Macaca mulatta: one gene and its partner. The protein of the gene in region 1 purifies or fractionates together with the protein of each later gene. This does not show direct contact. Links are inferred from orthologs where the notes say so. Each region holds a gene or a part of one and is shown on either strand. Other genes may lie near its edges.

The links. The genes of interacting proteins can lie anywhere in the genome.
Region 2: the proteins of BOD1L1 (region 1) and SETD1A purify together in Homo sapiens (affinity purification with mass spectrometry; 3 studies listed by BioGRID and IntAct, with this or other methods). This does not show direct contact. The link is inferred for Macaca mulatta from reciprocal best matches to the Homo sapiens genes BOD1L1 and SETD1A.

The regions. Positions count from the first base shown.
Region 1 is NC_133410.1:12,673,127-12,676,776, reverse strand, and holds part of BOD1L1 (biorientation of chromosomes in cell division protein 1-like 1), read left to right. Parts: coding exon 1-3,650. UniProt on the Homo sapiens protein: Component of the fork protection machinery required to protect stalled/damaged replication forks from uncontrolled DNA2-dependent resection.
Region 2 is NC_133425.1:29,601,534-29,605,183, reverse strand, and holds part of SETD1A (histone-lysine N-methyltransferase SETD1A), read right to left. Parts: intron 3,572-3,650; coding exon 3,484-3,571; intron 1,497-3,483; coding exon 1,339-1,496; intron 1,196-1,338; coding exon 1,108-1,195; intron 1-1,107. UniProt on the Homo sapiens protein: Histone methyltransferase that catalyzes methyl group transfer from S-adenosyl-L-methionine to the epsilon-amino group of 'Lys-4' of histone H3 (H3K4) via a non-processive mechanism.

The DNA.
Region 1 (3,650 bases):
AAATGACTCAGAAAAACAGCGAAAGTCTAAAGTTGAAGACAAACCTTTTGAAGAAACTGGTGTTGAACCTGTATTAGAGGCTGCTTCTTCTTCAGCACATAGTACACAGAAGGATTCTAGTCATAGAACCAAGTTACCATTAGCAAAGGAGAAATATAAGAGTGATAAAGACTCCACTTCCACTAGGCTTGAGAGAAAGTTGTCAGATGGCCACAAAAGCAGGAGCTTGAAACATAGTAGTAAAGACATAAAAAAGAAGGAAGAAAATAAGGCAGATGACAAGGATGGTAAAGAAAGTGACAGTAATCATGAAAAGGCCAGAGGTAATAGTTCACTCATGGAAAAGAAATTAAGTAGAAGATTGTGTGAAAATCGGAGAGGAAGCTTGTCACAAGAAATGACTAAAGGAGAAGAAAAGCTAGCAGCAAACACTTTGAGCGCTCCCAGCGGTTCTTCCCTTCAGAGACCAAAAAAGAGTGGTGATACGACATTGATCCCTGAACAAGAGCCAATGGAAATTGATTTTGAGCCAGGTGTTGAAAATGTGTTTGAAGTATCTAAAACCCAAGACAGCCGCAATAATAATTCTCAGCAAGACATTGACTCTGAAAATATGAAACCAAAAACTTCTGCCACAGTTCTAAAGGACGAATTGAGAACTTGCACAGCAGATTCAAAAACAACAGCTCCAGCTTATAAGCCAGGCCGTGGAACAGGAGTTAATAGTAATTCTGAAAAGCATACCGACCATAGAAGCACCCTGACCAAGAAAATGCATATCCAAAGTGCTGTGTCCAAACTCAACCCTGGGGAGAAAGAACCCATTCATAGAGGAACTAATGAAGTGAATATAGATTCTGAAACTGTTCATAGAATGTTACTGAGTGCCCCATCAGAAAATGATAGGGTACAGAAGAATTTGAAAAACACAGCTGCTGAAGAACATGTTGCTCAAGGAGATGCTGCTCTTGAACATTCCACAAATTTAGACTCCTCTCCATCCTTAAGTTTAGTGACTGTTGTGCCTCTGAGGGAATCTTATGATCCAGATGTAGTTCCTGTGTTTGACAAAAGAACCGTTTTAGAAGGTGGCACAGCCAGCAGCTCCCCTGTAGATCACTCTGCTCTCTCTAATCAAAGTCTGACTGTTAGGGAATCAGAAGTCCTTAAGACAAGTGACAGCAAAGAAGGTGGTGAAGGTTTCACAGTAGATACACCAGCAAAAGCAAGCATCGCTAGCAAAAGACACATTCCGGAAGGTCACCAGGCTACTTTATTGGATGGTAAACAAGGAAAGGTAATCATGCCTCTTGCAAGCAAGTTAACGGGCATGATTGTGGAAAATGAGAATGTTACCAAAGAAGGTGGTTTAGTGGACATGGCCAAGAAAGAAAGTGACTTAAATGCAGAGCCCAATTTAAAGCAGACAGTTAAAGCAACAGTAGAGAATGGCAAGAAGGATGGCCTTGCTGTTGATCATATTGTAGGCATGAGTACAGAAAAATATGCTGAACCTGTCAAACTTAAGCATAAAAGAGGCCCAGGTAAAGTGAAAGACATATCAATTGATGTTGAAAGAAGGAATGAAAACAGTGAGGTAGACACCAGTGCTGGAAGTGGCTCTGCACCCTCTGTTTTGCACCAAAGGAATGGACAAACTGAGGATGTGGCAACTGGGCCTGGGAGAGCAGAAAAGACTTCTGTTGCCACTAGTACTGAAGGGAAGGACAAAGATGTCACCTTAAGTCCAGTGAAGGCTGGGCCTGCCACAACTACTTCTTCAGAAACAAGAGAGAGTGAGGTGGCTTTACCCTGCACCAGCATTGAGGCAGATGAAGGCCTCATTATAGGAACACATTCCAGAAATAATCCTCTTCATGTTGGTGCAGAAGCCAGTGAATGCACTGTTTTTGCTGCAGCTGAAGAAGGCGGGGCTGTTGTCACAGAAGGATTTGCTGAAAGTGAAACCTTCCTCACAAGCACTAAGGAAGGGGAAAGTGGGGAATGTGCTGTGGCTGAATCTGAGGACAGAGCAGCAGACCTGCTGGCTGTACATGCAGTTAAAATCGAAGCCAATGTAAATAGCGTTGTGACAGAGGAAAAGGATGATGCTGTAACCAGTGCAGGCTCTGAAGAGAAATGTGATGGTTCTTCAAGTAGAGACTCAGAAATAGTTGAAGGAACTATTACTTTTATTAGTGAAGTTGAAAGTGATGGAGCAGTTACAAGTGCTGGGACAGAAATAAGAGCAGGATCTATAAGCAGTGAAGAGGTGGATGGCTCCCAGGGAAATATGAGAATGGGTCCCAAAAAAGAAACAGAGGGCACTGTGACATGTACAGGAGCAGAAGGCAGAAGTGATAACTTTGTGATCTGCTCAGTAACCAGAGCAGGGCCCCGGGAGGAACGCATGGTTACAGGTGCAGGTGTTGCCCTGGGAGATAATGATGCACCACCAGGAACAAGTGCCAGTCAAGAAGGAGATGGTTCTGTGAATGATGGTACAGAAGGTGAGAGTGCAGTCACCAGCACGGGAATAACAGAAGATGGAGAGGGGCCAGCAAGTTGCACAGGTTCAGAAGATAGCAGTGAAGGTTTTGCTATAAGTTCTGAATCGGAAGAAAATGGAGAGAGTGCGATGGACAGCACAGTAGCCAAAGAAGGCACTAATGTACCATTAGTTGCTGCTGGTCCTTGTGATGATGAAGGCATTGTGACTAGCACAGGCGCAAAAGAGGAAGACGAGGAAGGGGAGGGTGTTGTGACTAGTACTGGAAGAGGAAATGAAATTGGGCATGCTTCAACTTGTACAGGGTTAGGAGAAGAAAGTGAAGGGGTATTGATTTGTGAAAGTGCAGAAGGGGACAGTCAGATTGGTACTGTGCTAGAGCATGTGGAAGCTGAGGCTGGAGCTGCCATCATGAATGCAAATGAAAATAATGTTGACAGCATGAGTGGCACAGAGAAAGAAAGTAAAGACACAGATATCTGCTCCAGTGCAAAAGGGATTGTAGAAAGCAGTGTGACCAGTGCAGTCTCAGGAAAGGATGAAGTGACACCAGTTCCAGGAGGTTGTGAGGGTCCTATGACTAGTGCTGCATCTGATCAAAGTGACAGTCAGCTCGAAAAAGTTGAAGATACCACTATTTCCACTGGCCTTGTGGGGGGTAGTTACGATATTCTTATATCTGGTGAAGTCCCAGAATGTGAAGTTGCCCACACATCACCAAGTGAAAAAGAAGATGAGGACATCATCACCTCTGTAGAAAATGAAGAGTGTGATGGCCTCATGGCAACTACAGCCAGTGATGATATTACCAACCAGAATAGCTTAGCTGGGGGTAAAGATCAACGCAAAGGCTTGATGATTTCCACCAGTACCACAAATGATTACACCCCTCAGGTAAGCGCAATTACAGATGTGGAAGGAGGTCACTCAAATGCTCTGAGAACTGAAGAAAACATGGAAGGTACCAGAGTAAACACAGAAGAATTTGAAGCCCCCATGCCCAGTGCAGTCTCAGGAGATAACAGCCAACTCACTGTCAGTAGAAATGAAGAGAAAGATGAGTGTGCCATGATTTCCACAAGCATAGGGGAAGAATTTGAAGTGCCTATCTCCAGTGCAACAACCATCAAGTGTGCTGAAA
Region 2 (3,650 bases), on another chromosome or scaffold:
CTGGGAAGGGGACTGGAGGAGGGCGAGATGGAGCTGAACACAGCAGGGCCAGGAGATAAAAACGGCCCACAGTGTTGGGCTGGGGGGACACCCTGTGGAGAACAGGTTGTCAGGAAGGACCTTATGGAAGGAAGTCACAGGGTCAGGGGTGCCTTTTAGGAAAGAGATTCTATAAGCAGTTTGGAAAATCAACTGGAATAGAGGGAGAAGGACAGAAACAGAGACAGGGAAATCAGTCAAGACTGCTGCAAGAGGCTGGGTGCAGTGGCTCACACCTGAAAGCCCAGCACTTTGGGAGGCTGAAGTGGGTGGATCACTTGAGGTCAGGAGTTCGAGACCAGCCTGGCCAACATGATAAAACCCCATCTCTACTAAAAATACAAAAATCAGCCAGGTGTGGTGGCTCACGCCTGTAATCCCAGCACTTTGGGAGGCTGAGTCAGGAAAATCGCTGGAACCAGGGAGATGGAGGTTGCAGTGAGCCAAGATCGCATCACTGCACTCCAGCCTGAGCAACAAAGCGAGACTCCATCTCAAAAAAAAAAAAAATCCAGGTGTAGTGGCTCACGCCTGTAATCCCAGCACTCTGGGAGGCTGAGGTGGGTGGATCGCCTGAGGTCAGCAATTCAAGACCAGCCTGGCCAACATAGTGAAACCCTGTCTCTACTAAAAATACAAAAAACTAGCTGGGTGTGGTGGCAGGTGACTGTAATCCCAGCTACTAGGGGGGCTGAGGCAGGAGAAACACTTGAACTCAGGAGGCGGAGGTTACAGTGAGCCAAGACTGCGCCGTTGCACTCCAGCCTGGGCAACAAGAGTGAGACTCTCATTAAAAAAAAAAAAAAAAAAAAAAGATTCTTCCAGGCTGTCCTTGTGGACAGCTATGTCTCAGCAGAAGAGGGAGCAGGAGGAGGGAGCATTTTGAGCATTGAGCTTATTGCTGTCAAGGGGCCAAGGGTTCCTAAGAATGTGGCCCAAACAGATGCCCTCGCAGAGGGCAAAGGTGACCCACAAGCCCAAGGAAGGTCATGTGGGCTCAGAAAAGGGCTAGCCAGGCAGCCGAACCCCTCCTCCGAGCCCAAAGTCAATTCCGCTGTCTGTGCTCACCATCCGACACCCCTGTCTCCTTCTTTGTGGTATCCACAGCTTCCTCTCGATCTTCATCTTCCTCATCTTCCTCGTCATCCTCCTCATCCTTAAGAAAAAGGACAAATGGGGACTAACAACAGGAAAGGGACAACTGGTCCTCCACCAGGCACAGCTGCCTGGGCTCCAACCACAGAAATGCTGGCTATGGGGAAGCAGGCTTCAGCTGGGAGCCAGCGCCCAGGCCCTCACCTTCTCCGAGGAGGACTCCTGGGACGCCTCCTCCCCTTCACTATCCAGAGCAAAGGATTTGCGGTGCTTGCCCTGGGTCTTGCCTCGTTCTTCGTCCCGCTTCGGGGGCTTGGTCCCCGGACGTCCAGGCTCTCCAGCCTCCTTCTCTCGCTCAGGGTCTAGGCCAGCAGAGTGGTAGTTGGGGAAATTTACCATCAACCACAAGATACTTGCCCTGCATAACGGCTTTACATACACTATTACCAATCTTCCTGATGGTCTTCATTTTACAGATGAGAATCTGGAAGCTCACCAGAGAAACGCAAACACCTCACAGTTACCTCATGTTTCATAGTTTGGTTTTTGTTTTTGAGCCGGGGTCTTGCTCTGTCACTCAGGCTGGGGTGCAGTGGTGTGATCACAGCTCACTGCAGCCTCAACCTGCTGGGCTCAAGCGCTCCTCCTGCCTCAGCCTCCTGAGTAACTGGGACTATAAAGGGCCATGCTATCACACCCAGCTAATTTTTAAAACTTTCTGTAGAGACAGGGTCTACCTATGTTGCTCAGGCTGGTATTGGACTCCTGAGTTCAAGCAATCCTGCTGCCTCAGTCTCCTGAAGTGCTGGGATTACAGGCGTGAGCCATCGTGCCTGGCCTTTATATATATACACATACATATACATACACACACACACATATATATACACACACACGTACACACACACATATATACACACACATATATATACACACACATATACACACACACGGCTGTTGTGTATTTTTAGTAGAGACAGGGTTGTGCCATGTTGGCCAGGCTGGTCTTGAACTCCTGACTTCAGGTATATATACATCTGTGTATATATATATGTATTTTTCTTTTTCTTGAGATGGAGTCTCACTTTGTCGCCTGGCTGGAGTGCAGTGGCACAATCTTGGCTCACTGCAACCTCTACCTCCCGGGTTCAAGCAATTCTCCTGCCTCAGCCTCCCGAGTAGCTGGGACTATAGGTGCCCGCCACCACACCTGGCTAATTTTTGTATTTTTAGTAGAGACGGGGTTTCACCACGTTGGCCAGGATGGTCTTGATCTCTTGACCTCGTGATTCACCCACCTCAGCCTCCCAAAATGCTGAGATTACAGGTGAGCGCCACCGTGCCTGGCCTTCATATATATACACATATATATACACACATATACATACACACACATATATGCACATATATACGTATATATACATATCTACACACATCTACACATGTATACACACAAATATGTAAATACATATATACGTATGTATTCATATAAAAATACATATATAATAATACATATATATATATATTTTTTTTTTTAAGACCCAGTCTCATGCTATCACCCAGGCTGAAGTGCCGTGGCATGATCTTGGCTCACTGTAACCTCTACCTCCTGGGTTCAAGTGATTCTCATGCCTCAGCCTCCCAAGTAGCTGGGATCACAGGTGAACACCACCATGCCTGGCTGTTTTGTAATTTTAGTAGCGACAGGGTTGTGCCATGTTGGCCAGGCTGGTCTTGAACTCCTGACTTCAGGTGATCCTCCTGCCTCAGCCTCCGAAGTGCTGGGATTATAGGCAAGAGCCACTGTGCCCAGCCCACACAGTTTTAAATATGTCCTGCCCATTTGATCTTGTATCATTTTCTGGTCGGGTGGAAGCGGGAGCTGATTTGTTATGCCTAGCCCAAGAAAAGAGTACGAGGGCCAGTGGGTCTCCAGGGAAGCAGATCTGACTCAGTGGGGAAGTTTCCAGGCCATGGTAGCTATCAAGCAAGGACTGAAACTCGAGCACACTGGGAGGAAGGTGGTAGGAGGGCATGAGCATCAGGTGGGAAACTTGGGGAGATGCCTCGTTTAACTTGGAATTCCGTGATTCCAGACACTGAATTTCATGGGTGGAAAAACCCAAAATACAGAAAATGTAAATTAGCAGACCAGAGGAAGACCCGCAACTACAATCCAGGAATAACCCTACCTGGTGTATCCCACACCTCTCAGAACTGCTGCATTTCAACCCTGCACCTCCACCTGGCTCTGCCCTCAGAACGACCCAACCCCTTCATCCCCGACCCTTGCTCTCCCATCAGAACCCACACAGACCACCCCTTCTCCTTATGCCTGACCCTGCTCACCGTCTTCATCTTCCTCAGCAGGAGTGGAGGGACGAGGCCTCTTTTCCTCACTGGCCTCGGAAATTTCCGATGGCTCTTTCCGCTTTACCTGGGGAATAGGGAGAAGATGGGGCTCGTTTAGAACTCAAATACTCAGGCAGAGCACGCTGGCTCACTCCTGTAATCCC